2 linked regions of the Arabidopsis thaliana genome follow. The protein of the gene in region 2 interacts with the protein of the main gene of each other region in a pairwise test. Each region holds a gene or a part of one and is shown on either strand. Other genes may lie near its edges.

Region 1 (7,315 bases), on a different chromosome or scaffold from region 2:
CCGCTACAGTTTCTGCTGTCGTTTCTGTCTTAATAGCTTCAGGTTGGTTATATACTCTGCTCTGATTCTGTTTTGGAATCTTGTAATGAGTGACACTCCAAGTTACTTCCTATATGTATTGAAGAATGAAATGAATTTGGTATTGGATCAGGTTGGATTGGGTTTTTCTATGCGGTGTGGTTGGGAACAAGAGGAAGCCTACGCTTGGCTAAGCAATCGGTTTCAGTGGTGGGATCAGCCATTTCAGGTAACACTATCAGTCGTCATCAACACCAAGACCGGGAGGTAAACATCGAATCAACCAACTGAGAATCCGTCCTTACCGCGTTTGTAAATAAACCCCGACTTTTGGTTGTTAATGGAAGCTTGATATAAATATGATCTATGGAGTTTGTTGTGAAGAAGCAGAGAAAGAATGATAAGAATATTTCAAAATGCAACTTGAAACATTTTGTGATCAATGTCTACGGATTTTTGGATCTATGTATGCATACATTGTGTGTTTTATGTACTTAAGAAAGAATAATGATCAGTATCCATATGAAATCTCAACTCAGATCTCTCCCTCTCTCTACATTTCGGCTGCAAAAAAAAAAAAAAAAACTTGAAACCCTCTAGCCAACCAAGAGGCTTTCAAAAAAATATCCAAACTTTCACCACATTTTGATGATCTTCCAATTATATAACTTATGATCACACCACCAGATCAACCTCAAAAAACTAAAAACCCGAAAACCCAAAAACAAAAACTCATACATTGATCATCCACTTTATAATCAAATCATCAATGGAACTTGAGAAGAGGAACCTCCAAATTTCTTCATTTTGGTAGTGATATTCTCTCTCTCTGTGCAAAAATCAACACTCTTGAGCAGCTTGGCTCTCTACGTGTTCTCCTTCTTTTACGCTGAGAATTTCATCGTCACAAAGATATATACTGCATACATGTTTCTGAGTATATATAGAGAGAGAAAGATGAAACAAAAAAATAAAAAATCCAATATATATAAAAATCCAAATTGATCAAGAAAGTCATTTCTCGTGCCAATCTGGTCTGCCTAATGTAAACTCCAAACTTGGATTTTCACAACTAAGATTTCCACACCTCTTTGCTTGATCATTCGACCTTTGCTCCTGCCAATTTTAACTTTATATTAGATTAAAGGACAAAAAAAACACTAAGAAAGGCAATATCTATCTATACAAATATGATTAGATGGGAATTATCAGAACCTGATTTTGAATGCTGGATCTTTGATAATGAGAGATCATTGATGTTGATGAAGTTCTGATCATTGTATCTATGTCGCTTGAGCAGTTATTACTTAATGGCCATGTCTCTCTATTTTATGATTTAAGAAAAGAAAGAAAACAAATTAAGGACAAATTGTATTTATTGATGTATAGATGCCCTAAAAATAAAATAAAAATCACTACACACAAATTGCGTTTTTTTGCAACTTGCTATATGACCACAATCTACATGTCATACTTATGAAGCAAAATTCGTTTATCCTAGTCTTCCTAGATGAATCTTAAGAACCCAAACCAAATTATAATTAAAAAAAAAAACTTGGTACATATAATTAAAGTTCATCAGCCATAAACCCTAACCAATTTCATCTCATTGTAACCAAAACCATCACTCAAATTTTTTCCCCTTAAACTGAACGAAAACAAACTTAAAATATCATCTAAAAACTATTTTTGTTAGAAGAAAATGGATAGATGTGGGATAAACCAAACAATTGTCGTATGAATTACTTGGTAGGAAGTAGGAACAATTAGGTGAGAGAACCCTAAACCCTATCTCAAATTTCGTCAATCTTATTCTTACCTAATGTTTATATATACTTATCGTGTGTATAATACATGTACGTATATACGTAAACGTACCGTGAAGAGTTACTCCAACGAGGTTGTGTGGAAGAAATGTCAGTTTCTTGATGAAGAGAAGTATCATCAGATTGTGCCCTTTGATCCGTCGATGATTGATGATGAACTTCGTTTCCATTTATGCCCATTTCTTCTTCTCCTGACCCATCTGAAATTTTATTTTAACTTTTTATCAAGTTTCGTTGTCTCAAATCAATCACTTATACCCTATAAGGAATCTCATTTAAAACTGAACGATTCTTGTAAGCTTTTTTGTAAAAGACAATGCAGTGAAGAAATTGTTTTTCTTAAAAAATAATTTCAGCATTTCGTGTTGACCAACCTAATATGTGTCTCAAAAAATAGTTTTACAGACTCGAAAATTGTGCCAAATAAACTTTTAATTGGTTAAAGAAAATCCATATGAAACAAGTGGTTTTTCTTTATTCTTAATTCATGAACTTTGCTTGGATATGAGTTTACACTTCACACGTTTTAAATTTAATCTTTTACTCGATTTTTTTTTCTTAGAGAACATCAATATTGGGGATATATGTTTGTTTGGTTTGCTTTGAACTTTGACCACTCAACTTTAGGGTTCAATCAAAGGAAGGATAAAAGCCTTGAGCTTGACCAATATCTTAGGGCTCGTTTTTTATTATTTTGGGGAAAGGGAATAGTAGAAATAGTAGAATCAAATAGTAAAAATAACAGAAATAATTTCACGTCATTATATCTCTACATACATACAAATATCGAATCACAGCTTCAAATTCTGATTGAGAACTAATTTCTTATAAATATTGTAGTCAAAAAAAGCTATAATAGTGATTATATTGGACCTCCATTTCTATAAAATTCTGGTGGAGAATCCTAAGCTTTATTGTATATCTGTCTTATGTTATTTTTTGGTGAATTGTATATCTTTCTTATTAAAAGCCAGTACCATTTCTTTAGCATATATAAAGCTGAAAAAAGCTATACTAAAGAAATGTGAATATGCATAACATTATATGTGTGTGTGTGTGTAAAGGAATCACACGTACCTGATGAAGCAGCAGGCTTGTTAGTGGTCTTAACAGTTCGATACATCTGCAAAAAAAAAAAAATTAAAGGCATGATGAGAGCTCTAAAACTAGAATAAACCATAAATCCAATTAAAGACACAGGAAAAAACCAAAATAAATATCGGACAAAAGATACTGATAAACTAAATAGATTTATTTTTGTATAATGTGATACAGAATTACAGATGACAAACTGGAGAGATATATGCAGACACATATGAACTTTATATTATTAAATAAATAATATATGTAGTACATATGTGTGGTTTTCTGGGTTTGTCTTGGAACTGATGATGTATATATAATTAATTATTTATGATTTTAAGACCACGAGGTTGATGTCTGAAAGAAGGTTGAGTAATAGAAAGATTGTATTATTATCATTGAGTAATGATGACTACTTTTGTCCCCTCTTCCTAATTTAAAAAAGAAAAAATGAATTATAATCCAAAATAACTTCTATCTATCATCTCAATTCTCCATTGTTTAATAATTCTCTGAAAGGTTTCAGTCACTTAAAGCTATAACTACTCTCTCTTTTTCTCTCTTTAAATTCATTCAACTGCTTCAATTTTCTTGGCAATTGTGCCATCTCTTCCAAAATATGACTAAACTTAAAGCAAAGACAAAACAAGAAAATAAAAGTAACACATCAGAATTGGAGCTCTATTCATTGCTCTGATGATATATACGTACACAAAAACCTTGTTTCTTGATTCAGCTGTTTTTGTGCAAAACGCAAAGGAGAAGAGAGTGACATGATGGTGATGAAAACTATGAAATATCCCTAATTATAGAAAATCTTGATTGGTAACGAACTAACTCGACTAGATTAAACCTAAATTAACAAATAAAAATTGATTCTTTGTTGTGTCTAATTTAATTTCAAATAGAGTATAGATTATACCTGCAAATGGCTCTTCACATGTGCTAAAGTTAAGTCTTTTACATCCATGAGCTCAAGAACCGACTTTGGAGTTGCTCCTAGAATCACAACAACAACAAGAATAAAAGATTTAAGACTTTGAGAATAAAGTGAAGAAAAATGGGAATGATCATTAGAATGTGATTATGATATAAATGTGTACTTTCATGGCCGCCTAGAAGCTCAACAGCGTGAACAAACCGCGCGTGGAGGCTACTAGTCCAACGCATCCTTGGAGCTCTCATGCTTCGCTTTGTCGGCATCTTAGGCAAGAATCTTGATCTGATCATCCCATGATGATGATGGTTATGGTGATGAGGAGAAGACGAATCTGAAGATCCAACGACTCCATACTGATTATGATGATGATGATGATGCAAAGGAACACCTTTAAGCCTCGGGGAAGATTGTAATGATCGGTAAGCGTTGTTGTAGCCGGAAGATGAGTTTAAGATTGAGATTTGATCCATGTCTCCTCCTCCAAGAGAAGGTAATGAAGAGTTTTGTTGGTGGAAAGGGAATGAACGGTTGTGATAGACCGGGATGCCTCTAATTGGACGGTGGAGATTACTAATCTCGGATTCATCGACCCTTTGATGAACACCATTGATGATAGGGTTGTTGTAATGCTGCTGATGAGGAAGATTAAGGGTTCTTCGATCAGGACAATGGAAGATTCTTGCTGTTGGATGGTTATGATGAGATAAAGAGAGTTCAAAGTTGGACGATCGGTTGTTGTTTTCGAGTTGGGAGGATCTTCTTGAAGATTCTTTAGAAGATTCATTGTGATGGTATTGATGAATATCTGGGAGACTGATGTGGAGAGATAGATCAGGGAGAGTAGTTGTTGTGTTTGTTTTGGTTTTCTCTAGAAAAACACCTTCCATAGACATAATTAAAGAAACCTTTCTCTTGCTATTGCTGCCACTGAAGTTGTTGATGATGATAAGGATGATGATGGTGATGATGATGATGACTATTCTTTTGTTTTTTTTTTCTCCTGAGGGTTTTGCTTAGGAATTTAAAATGATTTTCTCTAAGGAGAAGAGAAAGCAGAGAGATTCTTTAGGCAAAGAAGTCAAAAGGGTGTCTGAAAGATTTGATATTTTTTTTGTTCTCTTTCTCTCTCTATATCTCAGAAAGAAAGGAGAAAGTGAGAGAGATGAAGTTAAAGAGAAGCTTAGAAGAAGAGAGAGAAGTTGAGTGATGATCTTCTTGAAGAAACAAACATGCTCAAAGTAAGACGCAGAGAGAGAGAAAAAGAAGGAAGAGAGAGATAGAGAGAGGTATGTGTGTTGTGAAGCAAAGGCAGAAGAGAAAAAAGGAATAAAACTAAATCCAGGAAAATTAAAAACAGGTAAGAGAGAGAGATATATGTGTGTTCGTTCATGTACATGTATGTGTATGTGTATGTGTGAGATGTTGTTCCTCGAGAGTATATCTTGGAAAACGATAGTTGAGAAAGGGTAATATTGTCATTCGCTATATTCCAAATATTGGAAGCTTTTTATTTTATTTTGGGATGGTATTTCAATTTGTCTTTTTCACCTTTCAACAAGTAAACCCATCTATCAATATAATATAAATTATTTTACGGCTAGATTAATTGATTTCATGTTTTAGTTTATTCGTTTAAACTACTGAAATTTTGATTTCCATAGATAAAGTTGAAGAATAATAGCAAAATAAATCTTGTTTTCTATCAATTTAGTAGATGAAATTTTCAAATGTAAAGTGTATTTAATAATCGACCAATTTCATAGATGAAAAGCATACAACTTTTAACAATAAAAATTAATACGATTATCATCCATTAAAACCTTAACAATTTGAGTAATAAATCAAAAACTCAATTGATCTTTAAAATAATAATGTTCACAGATTATCATGAAGAATAATAATTAAAAATGTTGGAGAAGAGTACAAGAGGAGAGAGAATAAAGGGTCGCTCTCTTCTGTCCTATCTAATCTATAGTCAAAGCAAAAGCCAAAATTAAATTAAATAAATAAATAACAAGAAGAAAAAAACAAACACAAGACCTATTCTAAAATAAATAAAAAGTTTCATTATAACCAAAAAAAAATAAAATAAAAAAAGAGAGAGTGCTTTGATTTTGGTACCCCGGAGACGACGGGATACATATGTTGAGACTTGAGAGAGAGAAAGAGACTGTGTCCTCTCTGACTCCTTTTTTATTTTCTCCCCCACTCTCTTCGCTTCTCACTTCACTCTCTATTCACATCTTATTATAATAATTCCTTATACGATTTTGGAATCAAACAAATTCAAGTTTCTGACCGTAGATTGTTCAACTATACCTAAAGAGATAAATATACATTAAATATCAGTACGTTCTTGAGTTTATGAATAGCTCGTATAGACATTTAGTTCCTAGAGATGTGACTACAATATCAACCGGCTACTTGTTTGACCGTTTTGTGTTGTCTATCAATTAGAGCCAAATCGAAGTCATATACATGTCGCTTTAAAATACGTACTTGAAAAGAAATAAAATTAGGCAGATTTATATATATTTTTGACTTGTTTGTGTCGAATGTAATAATGTATGCATTCTAGTGTTTCTGTTTTCTTTGTACTCGACATTTTTACATTCACATTGTTCGTTTATAATTCTACAAAAAAAATTATGGAGTTGACTTTATCTACTGTGAAACAGAAATATGTCATACTGAAAAATAATGAAAAATATACAAAATTGAATAGTATTTAACTATTCGTATGTTTTTGTCAAAGAATTATTATATTTTTTTATCCCACTTTTAATTTGGAATATATAAACTCTGTGTTTTGCCTTCCAAAGGTACGGAAATTATTGTCTTAGAAAGTATCTTTCTCTTCAAATACATACATATATGCATACGTGTGTACAATACAAGGTGCCCTCGTACGTATATAAACCAAGTGTCATATAAAGAATTCGATCAATTATTGTAACGTAACATGCATGCTTTTAGATTATACGTGAAGTTAAATATATATTAGACCTAAGAAAATACTCAGCCAGAAAGTGGATTTTGTTTGTTTCCCTTAATAAACAAAAACAAGTGAACCCTAAAGAACCTAAATATTTGCTTCTAATTCCCTTTTCATTCTCCCAAATATTCCTTCTCAATTTAATAACTCTTTTCTAATTTTCTTTAAATTGTCTTCTAAGAAAAAAAATAAACTATTCACTCCTCACATGACCATATCAATACAACATCTCGACAAATCATTAATGCCTTGAAATAAAAATATGATAAATTGTAAGACTATGTTTATATATCAGGAAATTTAAATAAGTGAGATTTTATTCGTTGATTATACAGTAATATATATTTTTCTTATTAGATATAAATTTTAATTATTGGAAAGTAAAGAAGTACAGTATGCTTGCAGTTTTTAGACGTTTTGCTGCATGTGAGTTAAACAAGATACTATTATGAT
Region 2 (4,961 bases):
GCTATCACTGAATTTTTGATCTTACGAAATAAATTTATCTTAACTTTTAATTTCCCTCTATTTTGACAACAATTGTCGTTTGATGCATGCCCCAGTTCTTATTTAATTATACCATATCACTATTATAAAACCATTAATGGGAGCAATAAGATTGAACCATATGCAACAATCTCAAGAATCAGATTTTGAATGGAGAAATTTGAACAGAATCACATCGTTTTACATGTTTTCGGGAAGCAAATGCTTGTGCATATTTCCATTCTTAGTTTAGTTTGAATTTTGAAATGTAATATGATCATTCCCCTCTTGTTTTCTCTTCGGTTAAATTTTTGTGATATATTCATTCTGGAGGAAAAAAAGCTTTGGATTAATTGGTGGTTGTAATTTCCTTTGAGTTTCTTTTACATATGGCGATGGTGTAAAAATCTATTAAAAAAGTCTGATTATTTAAATTTCAAATTCGGCTTTCAGTAATAATAAGAAAACATTTTGATAAGTTAATTAATTATACAACTACAAATGAAAATTAACTTAAGAAACCCCATTAATTAGCAAGATTTTTGATTACAACAACAGAAAAAGACACATGCATATTTATAATATATATAAATAAGTTCAAGAAAGGAAAAGAAACCACAACTTTTGGACATGATAAACCCTAAGAAATTGGATTTCAATTCCTCAAATACTTAGTCGATTATATTTATCTCTTTAATAAGGAGTCACACCAACGTTAGCAGCTGCAGGAGCGTAGAACCCTTCTTTCATCACCATGTTATCCTCTCCCTCCTACACACATGTTTAAGATATGATCCAAATCAATTGAAATTATATTTGTATATATGATATTACATAAAAGTATATGCATTAAAGATGTAAGGTATGTCGACAGATTAGGGTTTACCTGTTGGGGCATGTTGGTTTTCTTCACGGGTTGATTGTCTGGCACGAGCCCGAAGTGTATGTGGGGGAAGTGGGCCCACTGCATTACACATAAACAACATACGTACAAGACACATATCAACTTGTGTTATAACCCGACAAAATTCTTTACTCCTAATTTCAGCTATACCTACATATATGACTGTTTAATATATATACAACTAATACAAGAGCAACTATACGCATAGATAAAATCAAACCCTAGTTTCTGCCGGCAATCTAAACCAAGTTGTGATGTTAGTAGTATCAATGGCTTAAATTCTTTAGTAAAGGAAAACAAAGAATACTTAAAACGCATCACTTCTAACTAGAATTTTCAGCGTTTAAAAAAATAATTTTTTTATTGAACTAGAGATAAATATGGATTATCAAGGACTCTTTTGATTATTAAAATTTGATTCAACCAATGGATAACAGTTTAATATAAATTTTTGGGATGTGAGAAATAAGGTTCTTACATTCTTGGCAGCAGCACTAAAGGCTTCTCTGTGGCTTATATCAGGATTACCAGCTTTGATACGTTGGATCTCCTCCCTAAAATAAAAACGTGACAAGGAATTATATTAATGTTACACAGTTATGGTTAGAATATGAATGATTGTAAAAATTAAATAAGAGACTCACTTGATGAATCGGTTATATGCGGATGGGACTCTCTGTCTTTTCTCTGGAGCTGGCAATGGCGAAATTCAACGGCAAAGACAAAGCGAAAAAACAAAAACTCAGACAGAAAGAGACAAACACTCATTAAAACTACTTTCATTGTCTTTTTTCTCTCTCACACAAATACTTTCTCTCTCTAACCCATCATCACTTCATCATGTTTTTTTAAAGACAAGCCCATCTTCTAACATATTACATAGATTTTTTCTCTTTAGCTAGATTTCCGGGGGATCCATGAATCTATCTCCCCGTTTCTTTTATCGTCACTATTTTAATGTTTACCAACGCTAAAAGCCATCTAGGATATGTAGACAATCAACACATACTAAAGTTCATGGATCAATGAATATTTTAAATATACAAAATCATAATCTCTCATGTCTCCTTCTAGTATACAAAGAAAAGAAAGGTAAAAAATCTCCTTCTAGACTTAATTCAATGGTGCTAGGGTTTGAACGAGATCCAGTGAAAGTTAAATAAGAAAAGCTATGCATGTCTTAATGGCGATTCATCATCACAACCAAATTATAAACACGGTTAGCATAGAAGTTAATATCATAAAAGTGAGAAGAATTAGTATCTTACGGCGGTTAACGGGTGGTGCTTTAGGAATCTCATGTTGTTGATGAAGATCCATGAAAGATGGTATGTCATTCATAGTAGGATGTTGATTCATCATCATCATATTCATGTTAGACGGTGCATCTCTCAGCTCCTCCTACAATAATATTTATATCCTTGAGGCTTGAGATTACTTCCAATAAGCTAAATGAGACCCTATAAGATTATGTATTTGAATTTTGTTTAAGTACCAGAATATCCTGGGGATTGAAGTAAGAGTGAGGACCGAGCTGGAGCTGGAGCTGGTTAGAAGCTGGGAGGACATATGATCTCATGTTCACCGAAAGGAGATTGGTACAGCAACCACATCGGACAGTTACGGTCTTGAACAAGCTTGTGTAAGGAACATTAACCTATAAGCACACAAAAGAAACAATGAATTTAAAAAACCCCTAATCTTGTATAGATCAAGAAGATGAGAAGTTGGAGGAGAAAAAATGAGAGAGAAAGTATTGAAGAGAGGTTATTTTGTACCGCAAGGATGGTTTGGCAAAAGTTGCATTGGACATAGCAGAGATGGTCGGAAGGAGAGAAGTGGTCCGGTGAACAAACAGCTGAGGAAGGGGAGGACATAGACGACATAGACATCTTTTTTGTAAGAAGGGGAAAAATATTGGAAGCTGATCTTTTTTTGGGAGTGTTTGGGGATTTGATTGATTGATGGGTATTTGACTGATCAGAGGATTCTTGATAAGGAGAAAATAAAAAACCCCACCATGATCTGATCTTCTTGATTGTTGGGTTGCTGTGTATTATATACCACAAAGGAAGATATATAGAGAGAGAAGAGGTGAAAGGAGTGAGAAGGGAAAGGGGATATTAATATATTAGAGGGTAAAAATTAAACAACAAATGCTCTAATTGTAGCCTCTAGGTCGTCTACTATTAATTTCGTTAATTAATTCGGTAATACTGTGTGTATATATATAATGTGGTGTATTATACATTTCAATTCAGCGATACATATATTCTTTAAAGAAATTCTCCAATGGGTTATATACAATTTTAGGTTTTGAATAGTATAACAGAGTCAGCGGTAGTGAACCAGCAACATAAATGGAATAAGTTTGGATGGTGTAGAACAGATAACACAAACCAAATAAAAATAAATATGCCGGTGTTTAATAAGACAATAACTATTTATATAATTTTTCATTAAATCAAGTGGCCGAATAAAATTTATGATCGATAAAATAAACATACATTAGTTTTTTTAATAAGTTTCGGAACTACACCCTAAACACCATTTGAATAAGCAGTTCATTTTTTTCACAAACAGTTTTTTTTATACCTTTTCCGTATATTCTTATAAATTGTATTGCCACATAACAATTGAATTGTACCACCACTATACCGCACTCTTTGTTTTTATTTATCACAAAATGCATAATCTTGACAAGTGGATCCAGATATTAAACAAATGTTAAATTACTTTGAACATAATATTAATTGACAAAAGAATTGGACAATTTCTTTACAAATATCACTTCTTTTTTTTTGATAAAAATATACATCTCACTTAGATCTTTTTTAATTTTTAATTAGTCAAATGATGCGAGTTATTATTAAATCTTTGTTGTCAACATCCAATATAAGATTTCTTTTTGATAATGCCTATATTAGAAATTCGGTTGACCATGCGGTCTCACCCTTACTAGAAAACGTAGACATTAAGCATCTATACCGTTGTACCTCTAAGATGACCTTGTGGTCACAAGGAGACAAGACTGATGACAAAATAGTTTTGAGGATATTATCGCTTAAAGATGGACCTTTTTCTATCTGATCTCAAACAATTACAAACCTAATTTTGCAATCAATTAAATTTTGGTCTATACAATTAAAAGCACATGTTAATATATGAAAATAGCTATAGGCATTTATGTTTCTATATAAATAGAACAAGAAATTCTAACTAAAGAATCAAATTTATAGCTACTATACAAAACTTTCGACAAAAATATGAGATTGGATCAATATAGCGATGACCACTAAACTACAAACCACTTCATGATCAATTTTGAAATCTTAGGAAGAAGATATTGTAGTACTAGTATGAACAAGGGAAGATTGAGGCATACATTAGAAGATTCGCGAGCTTAGGCTTTGGGGTTGGGGTTGCACGTGATGACACATGTAATGTGTTTGCAAGTAAGTTAAGAAACGACGAAGCTCTTGAAAAAAAATTTAAGTGAAAAAAGTTTTAAAGCTTTGACAATAGAATTCGCAGTTCCCAATGGAGGAAGAGAAGAGAGGAGAGAGAGAGGGCGGCAGAGGTGGGGGGAAGAAAGGGACGTGTGCATGGGAGTGATTAAGCGTCGCCTCATTCACCCGTTGTTGTCATTCCTTAATTACCACTGCCATTACTTTTTCTCGTTTCTCTATACAATTCCTTTCCTATTTTTTTAATTTTTTTTTTAATTATTAGTATTTAATTTCAATTGAAACATACTTTGTTTTGTTTGTTTGTATCATGTATGTATATGTAGAGATAAACATGATGCTCCATTTTTATTGATTGGTTATCATTAGCTTTTTAGTCAATTATATGATTGTTTTTTCCCCCTCCATTTGAATATTTGGAATCATCCAAGTCTAGACTTTCCATGAAAGCGAAAGTAAATTAATTCTATTTTTGTAGTTAAAATTTCCGAGTTAACCGGCTGCTTATCAATATACTAGTTTTATATTTCCGTTTAACTTAAATCGTTATTTTGTTGTTTTAAAATATTTGG

Evidence for each region. The genes of interacting proteins can lie anywhere in the genome.
Region 1: the proteins of AFO (region 2) and KAN interact in binary tests that used the Arabidopsis thaliana proteins (3 or more experiments, as listed by UniProt).

Annotation. Positions count from the first base shown.
Region 1 is NC_003076.8:5,406,333-5,413,647, forward strand, and holds KAN (Homeodomain-like superfamily protein), read right to left. Parts: upstream 5,435-7,315; 5' UTR 4,761-5,434; coding exon 4,031-4,760; intron 3,927-4,030; coding exon 3,850-3,926; intron 2,968-3,849; coding exon 2,922-2,967; intron 2,045-2,921; coding exon 1,897-2,044; intron 1,343-1,896; coding exon 1,234-1,342; intron 1,135-1,233; coding exon 1,033-1,134; 3' UTR 531-1,032; downstream 1-530. Other genes in the region: AT5G16550 (voltage-dependent L-type calcium channel subunit), read left to right, coding at 1-42, 152-309. UniProt on the Arabidopsis thaliana protein: Transcriptional repressor that regulates lateral organ polarity. Promotes lateral organ abaxial identity by repressing the adaxial regulator ASYMMETRIC LEAVES2 (AS2) in abaxial cells. Required for abaxial identity in both leaves and carpels.
Region 2 is NC_003071.7:18,627,739-18,632,699, forward strand, and holds AFO (Plant-specific transcription factor YABBY family protein), read right to left. Parts: upstream 3,042-4,961; 5' UTR 2,815-3,041; coding exon 2,701-2,814; intron 2,691-2,700; exon of another isoform or gene 2,580-2,690; coding exon 2,418-2,579; intron 2,324-2,417; coding exon 2,191-2,323; intron 1,616-2,190; coding exon 1,567-1,615; intron 1,477-1,566; coding exon 1,401-1,476; intron 983-1,400; coding exon 905-982; intron 790-904; coding exon 712-789; 3' UTR 514-711; downstream 1-513.